Linked DNA regions of Pelodiscus sinensis. The protein of the gene in region 2 purifies or fractionates together with the protein of the main gene of each other region. This does not show direct contact. Links are inferred from orthologs where the notes say so. Each region holds a gene or a part of one and is shown on either strand. Other genes may lie near its edges.

Region 1 (7,358 bases), on a different chromosome or scaffold from region 2:
ACCAAACAAGATGTTAGGATACATAGGGAATGAGACAGACAATATTATAATGCCTTAATAGTGTGACCTCACCTGGAATACTGTGTGTATTGCTGGTCACTCCATACCAAAGAGGATATGAGAAGAATGAGAACCTGGCAATTGATCTTGTTGCAAGAAGGATGACAAGAATGATTAGGGAGCAAAGTGGCTTAGACGATATCTTTTACTGGACCAACATCTGTTGGTGAGAAAGTCAAGATTTTGAGAAGTAGTCCCAGTAAAAGATATTACCTCACCTATCTTGTTTCTCTAATAATCCTGGGATTGATACAGCTGCAACACCACTGCATACAACAATGATTAGAAATATGGAAAAACTCACGTGCGAAGACAGATTGAAAAGACTGGGATTATTTACCTTAGAAAGGAGATGAATAAGAGTGGAGAGAATAAAAGTATATAGAATAATGAATGGGCGCAAAAAGGCAGAGCAGGCACTTCTGCTCTCCCGATCTCATAGTACAGGAACAAAGAGACAGGCATTAAAAGGCTACCTATTTAAAATAAATAAAAGGAAATACTATTGCACACAACATGCAACTAGACTATGGAATTCAATGCCACAGGAAGTTGCTGAGTTGCCAGAAAATCAGCAAGATTCAAAATAAGGATGTTAAGGAACAGGTGTTTGCTAAGTGTGGAGTCAATACAATTGGATACACGATTAGTCGATAAGGGGAGGCATTCTCTGTGACCACTGCACCTCTACATTTTAAAGGTAATAAGAGCTTGGCGGCTCTTACTACATTTAAAATGCAGAGGCACAGTGGTCCTGCACCCATATGAGCGGGAACTGCTCAGTCCCAGTTCATGCCGGGCCTGGCAGCCCCTCTTTGTGGTGCCTGGAGCTGGGCACAAACAGGGACTGATGCTGATGCAGCCCCTCCCCACAGCCAGCCTGGCTGCTGTGAACAGGCATTGCTCTGTAGCAGCAGTTCCTGTTTGCAGAGAGGCCAGAGCAGCCTCCTTTGCCTCCCATCCCGAGAGGCAGCACTGGGCTCTGCCCTCCACTTCCTGCCTCTCATACCAAGGCAATGGGGAGGGAGAGTGAGTAGTCGAGTACTCCACTTGAACCGCCATTGTGACATGGCTGTGAAAAGGCTAATACGGTCTTGGGATGTATTAGGCGAGGTATTTCCAGTAGGGATAAGGAGGTGTTAAGTGCCATTATACAAGGCATTGGTGAGACCCCATTTGGAATACAGTGTGCAGTTCTGGTCTCCCATGTTTAAGAAGGATGAATTCAAACTGGAACAGGTACAAAGAAGGGCCACTAGGTTGATCCGAGGAATGGAAAACCTGTCTTATGAAAGGAGACTCAAGGAGCTTGGCTTGTTTACCTTAACCAAAAGAAGGCTGAGGGGTGACATGATTGCTCTCTTTAAATATATTAGAGGGATCAATACTAGGGAGGGAGAGGAATTATTTAAGCTTAATACCAATGTGGACGCAAGAACAAATGGATATAAACTGGCTAGTAGGAAGTTTAGACTTGAGATTAGACGAAGGTTTCTAACCATTAGAGGAGTGAGGTTCTGGAACGGCCTTCCAAGGGAAGTAGTGGGGGCAAAAGATCGATCTGGTTTCAAGATTAAACTAGATGGGTTTATGAAGGGGATGGTTTGATGAGATAACATGATCTTGGGAACTAATTGACCGTTCATTATTAGTGGGAAATAGGTCAATGGAGGGATGATAGGAGTTACTTTAGAGAACTTTCTTGGTGTCTGGCTGATGAGTCTTGCCCATATGCTCAGGGTTTAGCTGATCGCCATATTTGGGGTTGGGAAGGAATTTTCGTCCAGGGTAGATTGGCAGAGGCCCTGGAGGTTTTTCGCCTTCCTCTGTAGCATGGGGTACAGATCACAGCTGAAAGATTCTCTGCATCTTGGGGTCTTCAAAGTATTTGAAGGCTTCAATATCTGAGATATAGGTGTGAGGATTATTCTAGGAGGGGTGGGTGAGATTCTGTGGCCTGCACTGTGCAGGGGGTCAGACTAAATGATCATAATAGTCCCTTCTGACCTTAAAGTCTATGAGTACTCCACTTGACTATTGGATACGTTTATGTTTATCGTAGTCGAGTAGTTGATTACTCGCTTACATCCCTAATTCAAAAAGGGTCTACGACAGTTGTAAGACCAACGTGAATACTCAGAATTAAAACAGTTATTGCTAAAATATATGTATATATAATAAGAATGGTCGATCCCCGGATATTAAAGAGAAAAGCTGGGTGATGTAATCTTTTTTTTGGATTACATTTTAGTGGTGAGACACACAAGGATTTGATTTTCACAGACTTCTTCAAGAAGAGCACGACAGCTAAATATAACCTTGAACAGATAGAATATGTGCTAACTACTTATAACAGTGGTTCTCAACCTGTGGCTTATGGGCTGCTTACGGCCCAGTATGGGCTGCTTGCGGCCCAATCAGCACACTACTGTAGCCCACTGATAGAGCCCAGGGGATAACTGAGAAGCCTGGTGCCAGTGGGAAGCAATGCCAGGAAGCGGTGAGTGCAGGGAGGCCCCACCCTGCTGCCAGCAGCAGACTCCTGTCACGTTGCTTGGGGGCAGGAGGAGGAGCTTGGGGGCAGTGGTGGAGCAGGGATGGGAAGAGGTGGGGCAGGAGCAGAGCCTGGGATGGGCCTTGGAGAAAGGAGTGGAATGGGGGCAGGGCACCCACCCCAAAGGACAGCCCTGCCTGTTGACATTCTCTGGATCATACAGCTAGTTATATATATTATGTGGATTGCAGCCCACATAACACAGAGCTGTATGTTCAGCTCACCTTGGTAAATAAGCTGAGAACCACTGAGTTATGCTAAATTAGGGGACCATTCAAGGTGAAATGGTATGTTAACATCCCTGTAGTCAGAGGGGAAAAATATGGGCTAGCTGGTTACAGCATGTTGTAATAAACCATAATCCAGTGTCTTTAGTCAGATCTTCATTTTTTAGTGTGGACCAAAGTTATGAGTTTAAGCTCCCAGGCCCATCTTTTGAAAATGTTATGTTGTACATTTACTTTGAAGATGAGGACTGATGATGAGTCAGATACAGAGGGTATGTTTACACTACCCCGCTAGTTCGAACTAGCAGGGTAATGTAGGCATACCGCACTTGCAAATGAAGCCCGGGATTTGAATTTCCCGGGCTTCATTTGCATAAGCGGGGAGCCGCCATTTTTAAATCCCCGCTTGCTTGAACCCCGTGTAGCGCGGCTGATTTGAAGTGGTTTCCATTATATACAGGATGTACAGTATAGTTCTCTCAGCAACCTCACTATAAAAACTGTTCCAGTCCCACTGCACGTAAAGTAAGCACAGATCTCTGAGTAGCTGTATTAGACTGAAACTAAAAAAACAATGGTCCTGTAGCACCTTAGAGCCTAACCAAAAAAAATATACATATTATCATAAGCTTTCATGAGCATAACCCACTTCTTCAGATGTTCCTTGTAAACTCTATAGATTGTCAGGAAAAAATTAATCTAAGAGGTATCATTCCTTTAAGATCAAATATGTTAAACAACAGATGCCCAGCTCCCTCCACAGAACTGTTTATCCTTTGCAAAGCACAAGCAGGGGCGGTCCATCCATATAGGCGAACTAGGCGGTCACCTAGGTCACCAAGTTCAATGGGGCACCAAATGGTGGCAGAATATCATTGAGGGGTTTGGAGATGGGGGGTGCTGATTGCATGGTTTGCCTAGGGCACCAGCTGCTGGCAGCTAATTTAGGGCCGCCCCTGAGCACAAGGCTCTTTGCCTAAAAGCAATAAACCCAGTCTATAAAAGAAGATTATTGCGCATCAACACCTGAGGCAAGTGTGATTGTATTTACTGCATGTGAAGGGTGCTGGCTACCACAGGTACAGCAGGGCAGCTCCCTCCAAGAGGGCACCACCAGCCAGGTCTGCAGAGATTTCTTCATCCCCACCCTTTTGATTTAGGTGTGAGTGGGCCAGGAGATACCTCCTGTTTGCTGGCACTGACATGGGTGTGAGTGCAGACACAGGTGACCCATGGTAGCACTCCGGAGGTGCACCGCCCCCCATGGCCCTACTAAAATTGTAATTAGTAGATGGGATGCTGCCATGGGCGATCGCCCTGCACCGCAAGCACTAGCCGCCCCTGGCTGCAGACAGTACCCCTTCGCCTGGGACCCTGCTCAGTCCTCCGGGCCAAGGCCAGAGGGCCCGGGAAAACGGACGAGCCCCACCGCGGAGCAGCGCCCAGCTCCCTTCACGCCTGCTCGCGTGCCGCCGCCCTCGCGCCCTGCGACTGGCGGAAGCCCCGCCCCTTGCTCCTCCTCGCGCCGCCGCGGGGAGCCGCTCAGCTGATCCGGGAGGACGCTCCAGCGCCGCGGCAGTGTCTGGCGCCGGCCTGGGGACCAGCCGCGGCGTCTCGCGCTCTGAGCCTCCTTCAGCCAGTCCAGCGCCGCGGCCCGAGCTCGAGACCCCCCCCCCCCCTCCTTCCCCAGCGCGCGCGCGCGGCCCCCCTCGCCCTGGGTCTGTAACCGCCGCCTGCGGTGGTTCCGGGCTGCCCGTCTAGCCCCCCCTCCCCCCACCGCTTCGCTCCGCAGTGCCCGGGCCTGCCCGCCGCGCCCGCCCCGGAGACCCGCCGCGCGCCGCCGTAGTAGCTGGCAGAGGCCGGGATGTCCGGGCAGCAGCAGCAGCAGCTTCCGTTGACGGCGGCTCCCCAGGCCCCGGGGATCGCCGCCCCCGCCGCTGGCGCCGGCCCCGCTCCGGTCCCGGTCCCGGCCCCGGCGGCCGCGCTGCTGCTCCACCCGCCGCCTCCCCCGCCACCGGCTACCGCGGCGCCGCCGCCTCCCCCGCCTCCGCCCGTCGCTGGGCCCCTGCCCGCCATGGGCCTGCCCGCGGGGAGCAGCGCCCCGGCCGCCTTCCCGCACGGCGACCCGGCCCTCAACGAGCAGGAGAAGGAGCTGAAGCGGCGGCTGAAGCGGCTCTACCCGGCCGTGGACGAGCAGGAAACGCCGCTGCCCCGCTCCTGGAGCCCGAAGGACAAATTCAGCTACATCGGCCTCTCGCAGAACAACCTGCGGGTGCACTACAAAGGTGAGCGCCCGGCCCGGACACGGGCCCGGCCCACCGAGGGGGGCGCCCCCTCCCGCGTGGCCCCAGGGCTCGGCCCCACGGGGGAGGGAACCCCCGCTCCTGGACCCAGGGCCTTCCTCCATGGAGCGGGGAGCCCGGCCACGGCTCTGTGTATCGACGCGCACATTCTGGAGGGAGGGGGGCATGTTTACATGCAGGCCACCAGGGACCTCTTGCCCAGCCCCCTGCGCGCCTGGCTTCTCACCTCAGTGCCCCTTCTCCATGAGGCTAGTCCCCTAGTGGGTCCCCTTTTCACCTGGAAATCTCTCTTGGAAAGGGCAGCAGCCTGATCCGGTGTGTGTGTTGGGGGGGAGGGAGAGACATATCGGGAAATATCTTTGTGGAATCTCCTAAACAGTTTACATGATGGGCGTGATGATCCGGATTCCTCTTTTTTCTCTTACCCCGAAGTATAAGCCTATGGGAAAGCTCACCAGATCTTGTCTCCTTTCCCACTCTGGATTTTGGGCTGATGGGCTATAAATTAGTAGCCTTCCTCAGCTTGTCAATTCTGCTATCAAATGAGAGTTTGAGGGCAAGCAGGAGAATAAAGTAGGATCAGCATGGTGTCATGTGTCTGTCTACAAAAAATATGCTTTTTTATTTAGAAGTGAGAACAAGGGCTATAGGGAGTTATAAGATCAGTACATGTAAAACTACCAAACACGGAAATGGCAGGGAGGGGAAGCCACCGAGAAAATACTTCTTGGTCTGTAGAAAATGAAACGTGTATGAAATAATATAATTTAAAGTAGCCCCTAATAATAGTCCCTGGGTAAATACTATATGTAATGTAGAGCATGCTTTAGGAAATGTTCAAAATTAATTTAAAATGTAGGAGTGACCTAATCTCATACTCTGTGCTCAGGTTTCTCAGAGATCAACTTACAATATTGTAAGGCTTTTATTTCAGAAGAAAAGATATCCAAATCATATACACTCATGTAAATCTACCAGAGATGACAATAAGGTACTTTAACTGGTGATAGTTGTGAAAAATATTATAAAAGCTAGTAACTTGAGTTTACCCTGACTTGGAAAAAAAATTCTGTCATTCCAGGCCCAAATCCTATGTAAAAGTGCTTCAGATTCAAAACAGTTTCTGATTGGCAATAAAGGGAGGTCAGATTGCAGTCAAAATGAGTATAGAGGGGAAGGAGAATAACCCTGAAATTCAAGTGAAGTCTTGAAAAACATGTTATGGTTGATTCAAATGGGAGGAAAATGGCACACAAAACATACAACATTCATGACTGCCATGAAAGGTGAGGTGTATTCTGTAAAATCTACCACAGGCAGACACTAATCTATTGTTAAAAACAAAATATTCATTTTAAGTAACACAAAGTTTGAGGCAAACTTATGAAAGTCAGTACATTCAAATTTGATAAGCCTTATTGTAGGCTCTTCTTTGTATTTTATTTGGAAGACAACAAGAGTTAGTTAAAATTAACATTGTGTTTTTTATCTTTGAAGTTTCTGGCTTTTGTTTGGCTTTGTATGACTTTAAATATTTTAGGAGTATTTTGTATGTACTGGGATCTGGCTGCAATGAGGATTCTCTTACACTTGGCCAGGGTGGGGCTTTATGGATGGCTGGTCTTCCTATTGTATCTTTGTAAACTATTATTTAAAAACACACAGTATATAACAAACAGGTAGATATAGAATCTTTCCGGCCTTTTTTAATGTGAAAATATTGTTTTTCTTTTTCTGTTCCTCATCCTTTTCAGAATGTAATCATGTGTGTTTGAAATATCGATAGTTACCAAAGATATAAAGGGGTAGCTGGTTAATCGGTTACCCAGTAAGTTTTGCCTTACAAGCATGCTTACCAGGATAACTTGTTAACCAATGGGTGTCCTCGCTGGAGCAGCCCGGTGATGTGGCAGGCCCTGCACAGTCAGGCGGGATCAGCCCCTGACCACTGCTGTAGTGTGGTGGCCTTGCCCCCCGGTTTTAACTGGTTAACATTTTAAATAGGATTTTATATTTATATAATGGTTGCATGGTGACCACTGGGCACTTGGGAACTGTGGAGACAATTGTCATAAATGTACATTGACTAATTACTGTTAACCGTACCTGATTCAGAGGTGAAGAATGATCCCAGTAGGGATCACCAGACCAGTCCAGGAGAATGTGGAACAGAAATAGAGTGGGGTGAGGAGTAACTGTAAAACACATAGCCTA
Region 2 (7,597 bases):
AACAAACTCAGTGACCCAGAAAATCCAACAAACCTGTTGTTTACGTCATCTTGTCGGGCTGTTAAGACTGCTTTCAATAGCAGTGACTAATTCCATTATTACTCAATGCAAAGGAATAAAGATATAAACATATTGACCAATATAAAGATGGCACAGCAGAACCCACTGACCAAGAGTAAACACTTGTATTCATTAACGAATAAACAGGCATGTTCGAAATGGACCAATCTTCGTCCCAATTCAACACCCACAACCAGAAGTGCTAGCCTCCTCCATCACCCAAATAAGAATCTGTCTATGGCATGCTATCATTAGAACCATGGTCGCAACAAAATGGTTTACGTTCAGAGCATAGCAGAGATGTGCGCAGTTTCCCCGAAGGAGCACAGTGATTATTTTAACTGATCTTGGAAACAGAAAAATTGCCCGGTCCAAGCAGTATGCAGAAATTGGTCTAATAAAAGATATTACCTCATCCACCTTGTCTCCGCAAGTCAGGAAAGCCCTGTTAGGACCCCACACTACTAACAGTAACAACGGTGCTCAAATACTCTGGTTAGCATGCTGTTAACTGTAAGGTGTTGCCATGGTCTAAATTTAAACACGCTTGTAACTTCTTCACTACAGTGTTATGACTCAAGTTACAAGAGCATTTAATACCACCTAATGCCACCTAAGAAACTGTAAACAGAGGCTTGCTCCCCTTTACAAAAAATTGTATAGGCAAGAAAGGAAGACAATGAAAAAAAGGAAGTTTGTCCAAAGACGGTTTACTTTAACTTTTCTATGTTATGACTGGTTAGGAATTTTCCCCCTTTTACACTCTGTTTATGAAATCACTATTTTATTTTCCTTGAGTGTTTAAAAATCACAGAGAACAGCAGCAGGGTGATGGGACCAGGAAGGAGAAGGAAGACATGGCAGCTCAGAGGAGTTGTTCCAAACAGGGAAGGGGTGATGGTGGTAGGAATGATGGTGAAAGAGGCTGCTGAGACTGGGAAAAGGGGGGCCTAAGAAGCCAGATTGGAGCATCTGGGGGGAGGGGACCCAGGGACTCTGAGTCTCTGTGGAAAGAGGGGATGTGAGCCTCCTGAGGGGACAGACAACATGGAGCTCCAAGGCTTATTGCAGATACAGCTGGGAGCAAAGGGAAGGGGCCCAAAGAGCTGAGATGGGGTTAGGGGGGCTCGTTCGGGCAGGTGCCTGAGAAACTGGGATCAGTGAGGACAAATGGAAGTCATGCAGACAGGATTTAGGAGAGGGGGTGCAAATGAAAACTGGGGGCAGAAGCTCGGACGGAAGGGAAAGAGGGCTGAGAACTGAGAACCAGGATGGGGGGAGGGGACCCAGGATGGGGATGCTGAGGGGACCCGGGATTGAGAGTGCATGGTGGGGGGGGGGATCCGGGATGGAGGAGGAACATGGGGGGGCAGAGCAAGGGGACAGGAAATCGGAGGAACCTGGGGGGAGGGCGAAGGGCCCCGGGATGGAGGGGAGCATGGGGGGACCGAGGGGCCCCAGAAGAACCTGGGGGCACGGGGACCAGGGATCGGGGAACCTGTGGGGAGAGGCCCCGGGGCTGTGAGTACCTGGAGGGCAGAGGGATCCGGGACCGGGGGTAACATGGGGGGGAGAGGGGCCCCGGGACGGAGGAGGAGAATGGGGGGGACCAAGGGGCCCCGGGATGGAGGAGGAGCATGGGGGGGGACCATGGGGCCTCGGAAGAATCTAGGGGCGCGGGGACCAGGGATCGGGAACCTGTGGGGGGCGACGGGACCGGGGGTAACATGGGGGGCGAGAGGACCCGGGATGGAGAGGAGAGCATGGGGGGCGAGGGGCCCTGGCATGGAGATGGGGACATGGGGAGGACCATGGGGCCCCAAGATGGGGGAGGAGCATGGGGGGGAGACCATGGGGCCCCGGAAGAACCTAGCGGCGCGGGGACCAGGGATCGGGGAACCTGTGGGGGGCGAGGGGACCCGGGATGGAGGGGGGAGCATGGGGGGGGGCGAGGGGACCCGGGATGGACGGGGGAGCATGGGGGGGGGCGAGGGGACCCGGGATGGAGAGGGAAGCATGGGGGGGGCGAGGGGACCCGGGATGGACGGGGGAGCATGGGGGGGGGGCGAGGGGACCCGGGATGGAGGGGGAAGCATGGGGGGGGGCGAGGGGACCCGGGATGGAGGGGGGAGCACGGGGGGGGGCGAGGGGACCCGGGATGGAGGGGGGAGCACGGGGGGGGGCGAGGGGACCCGGGATGGAGGGGGGAGCACGGGGGGGGGCGAGGGGACCCGGGATGGAGGGGGGCCCATGGGGGGGGGGCGAGGGGACCCGGGATGGAGGGGGGCCCATGGGGGGGGGGCGAGGGGACCCGGGATGGAGGGGGGCCCATGGGGGGGGGGCGAGGGGACCCGGGATCGGGCTCCCTGGCGGGCCCGGCGCGCCGCACGTACTCTCGCTCTGCAGGATCTCGCGGCGCAGCCCCCCCGCGTACTGGATCAGCTCCTCCAGGCTCCGCTCGCAGAGCTGCCCGTAGCCCGCGAACTTCTGCAGCACCTTCTCCAGCTCCCGCTCCACCGTCACGCACTGATCCATGGCGAGCGCCGCGGGGCTGCCGCTCCTCCGGCCGGGCCTGCCTGCCGCCGCCGGGCCGGATTTTGTTTCGAACTTCTACCAGCGGCTGGGCAGGCAGCGCCAAGGCAGCCGGGGTCCTCAGCGGCAGCGGGCTCCCTGGCTGTGTGGGCACCGGAGCGGGCACCCGGGGTCCTTAGGCAGTTGTTGTTCAGGCGGCACAGTAGACAGTCGGGGTCCACAGAAGGGCTCTGTTTCAAACAGCTGGGGTGCTATGGTGGTTTGTTACTCCACGACCCATACTGATAGCCGGAGCTTGGCTTAGTGCGGGCGCAGCGATCGGAGTCCTGGGCGGAATTTTTTTTTTTCAGGCAGTGCCACAGCCACCTTGGGTCTTTGGGCGGGGGCAGGGTTCGGCTGCGCTGTGTTCCGGGTAGCTCCTTAGGCAGACGCGCTGGCTGCTTTGCGGCCGCTCTTAGGGAAGCTCAGGGCGCGAGGCTGGGGCGGGGCCTGAGGAGGTGGTGGTGGTCACGTGCACGTATAAATACTCCAGCGCCCCTTAGGGGCGCGGCGTAGCGCTGGACACTAGTGACCTCGAGGAGCCTTCCAGGGAGCGATCCTGCGCGGGGCGCGCTGTGCCAGGGGCGCCTCCGGTGGTACCTGTGCAGTCCCAGCTGCAAGCAGAAGGGGTCGGGGTGACGGTGCTTGCGGCTCTCCTGGGCATTGTAGCTTGCCATGGGGGAAAACCCCTGATCTCTAGGGGATTGGCTCAGGCAGAGGCAGTCAAGGAGTCCAGCAGCTGTGCCTTCTGGACTCGGGTGATAGAAATGTAGCCGTGTTAGTCTGGTGTAGCTGAAACAAAATACAGGACTAACAGGATGGTTTATTAGGTGGTGAGCGTTCGTGGGGTCTGGCCCACGAAAGCTCATCACCTAATAAACCATCTTGTTAGTCTTTCAAGTGCTACATAGTCCTGTATTTTGTTTCTGGAGTCAGGATTGTGCCGCATTGCATCCGCTAATGGGAGACAAGACCTGTGAGAGCAGGGGGGGGGGTCGCCAACTTTTATAAGTGCAAGATGGCTTTTTAAAATTTAAATGCAATCCAGAATCTACCTCCAGCCCAAGTACCCTGCCCCACTTCTTTTATGCCTCTTTGCCAAGGCTCTGCCTCAGTTCACTCAGTCCTCCTTGCCTCCTCCATTCTCCCTCCTTTTCACCAGGCAGGGCAGAGGGTTGGGGCACAGGCTCTGGTCTTGGGCTAAGGGATTTAGAGTGCGAGAAGGGCTCTGAACTAAATGGCTGCGTCTAGACTGGCAAGTTTTTCCGCAAAATCAGCTGCTTTTGCGGAAAAACTTGCCGGTTGTCTACACTGGCTGCTTGAATTTCCGCAAGAACACTGACTTCCTACTGTCTGAAATCAGTGCTTCTTGCAGAAATACTATGCTGCTCCCATTCAGGCAAAAGTCCCTTTTGCGCAAAGCTTTTGTGCAAAAGGGCCAGTGTAGACAGCTCAGATTTGTTTTGCGCAAAAAAAGCCATTTTTGCGATCGGGGCTATCGGGGCTTTTTTTTTGCAGAAAAGTGCGTCTAGATTAGCATGGACGCTTTTCCACAAAAAGTGCTTTTCCGTTAAAAGCATTTGCGGAAAATTATGCCAGTCTAGACGTAGCCAATGTGTGGTAGGGTGTTGGGTTGCAGGAGGGGAGGTTCAGGGTATAGGCTCTATAAGGGAATTTCTGTCTAGGGGGCTCACGCCTAGGGTAAGGGCTTGGGATGTAGGTGGGGGTACATGACTGGGGCAAGGGTTTGGAGCTGGCTTCAGGTGTACAGTGCTTACCTCAGGTGGCTCCTGGGTGGTGGTACCATGGGGCTAAGGCAGGCTCATTCCTGTCTTGGCCCTGCACCACTCCCAAAAGCAGCCAGCAAACTCTCTCTATCCCAAACCCTGTTGTGTGCCCCCCCCCTTCCATTCTGTGGAGATAGAATGGAGGGCAGGGGAGCATTCTGACCTTAGCACCCCTCCTCTCTCTTACCTCCTCTGCACAACAAGCAGGAGGCTCCTGGAGGGGGAGGCAACTCCAAGGCAAAGGGGAGGAGATGTGCAGCAATTGGGGGTGGGAGGCGCTGAAGTGCTGTGCTTGATAACCTCTTGGCCAAACCAGTCAGGATCACCTGTCAGACGTGCTAAGCTCTACCAGACTATCAAAATCTACTGGTTGGTGACCACTGTGTTAAAGGATCTTCATCGCCCACCACTTCACTTCCCTATCCAACCCTAACACCACCTACATCAGTGGTCCCCAACGTTGCGTGGCTGCCAGGTGCCTGGGGACAGAGCCACTCACGTGCCGGGCACACGGGGGTGGGGCCACGCCTGCGCCGCGCACCCGGGGGCGGGGCCACCCACGAGCCATGTGCCCAGGGTTGGCACTGCGCATGTGCCGCGCGCCCGGGACTGCCCACGAGCCACGCGCCCCAGGCCGGCACTGCACATGTGCCCTGGGGCCGGGGCTGGGGCTGCCCATGCGCCCCGGGCCGGCCCTGCGCATGTGCCGCGCGCCATGGGGAGGGGCCGCCCATGCGTCCCGCGCCTGGAGCCAGCACCATGCATGTGCCGCGCGCTGGGGGTGGGGCCAGCCCAGATGTTTCAGCGGGCGCACAGAAATCCCCCGGCGGGCGCCATGGCGCCCACGGGCACCACGTTGGGGACCCCTGACCTATGTTGTCTACTCAAGCTTCCACAATCTTATTTCCATCTCGTCACATTCCTTGGTAGGGTGCTATGTAATTCATTTCACTTTACTGCTGCTAGCTATGTGAATCTGCAATTGGTTCCCATGCTCAGAGCTTTTTCAAACAACAGCAGTTTAAATGAGACCAGAACTTAAGTAGCTTTTATGTTGCTATTCAGAATCCTGTATGTAGGGGTCGAACTGACAAGAACTATGTTGCTTTGACCCTGCTGCTGTTCGGAAAAACACTGAGCAATAGCAAAAGAAATTACTAAAGAGGGAAATTCAAGAGTCTGAAGGAAGGATGAGACTAGATTAATAGAACAACTTCAAGGTCACGGGCTGGTAGAAAATGCTTCTTTTATGGAGGCAGTGTATAGAGAGGTTTCAAAACTGTTAGACCTCTAGAGGCTTCCATGAAAGATGGTGCTCTTGATTATGGTGAAGGGACAGTACCATGGTAGGAATCCCAGCACCTTTCCCTTTCCAGCAAGTTGGAGGAATGGTAGCTGTCTTTTCCTTGGGTTATTAGTTTGAATAGTGTGTTACCCCCCTGTTTTATTTTGGATTTGTCTAGTGAGTTTAATGTTTTGACAAGTTGATAGCTGGTGAACTTTTCAAACCCTGCTTGAAAACTTCATCCTATTCCTTTAACATCAGTTACTTGGAGTTCACAGAGAATATTAATAATCCTACTTTTCTGGTGGGGAAACTGAGGCATTGCTCATGAGTCTCCATCCTCTGTGGCAGTGTAGCTAAATTTTATCACAGGAGTCTCAAGTTATGCTTTAGTATTAATTTATTCTGTCTTCACTAAATACTTCACATTCAGTTAGCCATAGGCATGAAAATATTTGCTAAGGAACCTGGAGCAAAATTCTTAGTTCCAGCAATGCAGTATTCCTATTGGCTACGTCTAGATTGCATCCCTTTTTCATAAAAGGGATGCAAATTAGACATATCGCAATTGCTAATGAAGCAGGGATTTAAATCTCCCCCGCTTCATTAGCATAAAAATGGCAGCCGCTTTTTTTAGGCACGGTGCTTTGCCTGAAAAAAGTGCCAGTCTAGACGCGGATCTTTCGGAAAATAAAGCCTTTTCCGAAAGATCTCTTATCCCTCTTAAAATAAGGGATAAGGGATCTTTCAGAAAAGGCTTTATTTTCCGAAAGATCCGCATCTAGACTGGCGCTTTTTTCCAGCAAAGCTCCGTGCTGAAAAAAAGCGGCTGCCATTTTTATGCTAATGAAGCGGGGGAGATTTAAATCCCCGCTTCATTAGCAATTGCGATATGTCTAATTTGCACCCCTTTTACGAAAAAGGGATGCAATCTAGATGTGGCCATTATGTCTGGTTCTATTTACTGTATTTAATTCATCCTTTTTATTTTCAGTTGGTTTTTTTCCACTGCACTGTCAAAGTGGTCAATCTTCTTGGGCTTCTGCTGTAATGACAGTAACTGCAGATTGCTTTGCTTGAATTTTTTGCCTATGTTTATTTTCTGTATTGGATGATAAATTGAATGAGTCAGCACTGGTGCTGTGACAAGAGAATACTGAATAGTTCATGGCAATAGAGGATTTTTAAGAGTTCTTTGACTTATTCCTCTCCTGTTTAGGCTGATTGGGCCTCAATTCAGGTAGATGAATGTTCAGGATATTTACTAGACTCTGGAAGTCAGAGAAAGAGGGGAGGGGAAAGGTAAATAAATGCAATAAATAGAACGAGACCTAATACGAATATTATATTGTGGAATTAGGAATTTTGCTCTATTGCACATAGAAATACACACCTGTATATTCACCTGCACATTTACTCATCAAATCTACATTGACTGTAACCACCTGTAATTCTTCCTGTTAATCTGGCCTCTTATTACTCTGTCTGTAGTTACCAATAGTCACAGTCTCATGAGTCAGTAAAGCCAATTTAACTCATGTATGCAGCCCTGAAAATGTGTACAAATTAGGAAACATCACATTATTGCATTATTTGTGTCATGAGATCACTTAAACTCCAGTCAAGATCAGTAGGACTTACCACACTGGCATTTTAAAGTCCTGTAGTGATAGGCAGTCTCTGCCCTGAAGATAAAATAATCTAAATAATATCTTAAATATTTTTGGATCGTGCATCCTAATATAGATTGTTGGTGTCCAGGCATAAGGGGCCAGAGTTGAGACATTTGTGGAACCTAATCTCCGCATGTCCTGAGTTTCTCACATTCTTGTTAGTTTAATAACTGTGGTCTCCATGATGTATTCAAGGCATTTAGGGTAATTCTTAAAACAGT

What was found. The genes of interacting proteins can lie anywhere in the genome.
Region 1: the proteins of RMND5A (region 2) and RANBP9 purify together in Homo sapiens (affinity purification with mass spectrometry; 9 studies listed by BioGRID and IntAct, counting the BioPlex papers as one, with this or other methods). This does not show direct contact. The link is inferred for Pelodiscus sinensis from reciprocal best matches to the Homo sapiens genes RMND5A and RANBP9.

Annotation. Positions count from the first base shown.
Region 1 is NC_134712.1:106,033,857-106,041,214, reverse strand, and holds the start of RANBP9 (ran-binding protein 9), read left to right. Parts: upstream 1-4,358; 5' UTR 4,359-4,705; coding exon 4,706-5,126; intron 5,127-7,358. UniProt on the Homo sapiens protein: May act as scaffolding protein, and as adapter protein to couple membrane receptors to intracellular signaling pathways. Acts as a mediator of cell spreading and actin cytoskeleton rearrangement.
Region 2 is NC_134715.1:122,882,354-122,889,950, reverse strand, and holds the start of RMND5A (E3 ubiquitin-protein transferase RMND5A), read right to left. Parts: upstream 3,020-7,597; 5' UTR 2,596-3,019; coding exon 2,454-2,595; intron 1-2,453.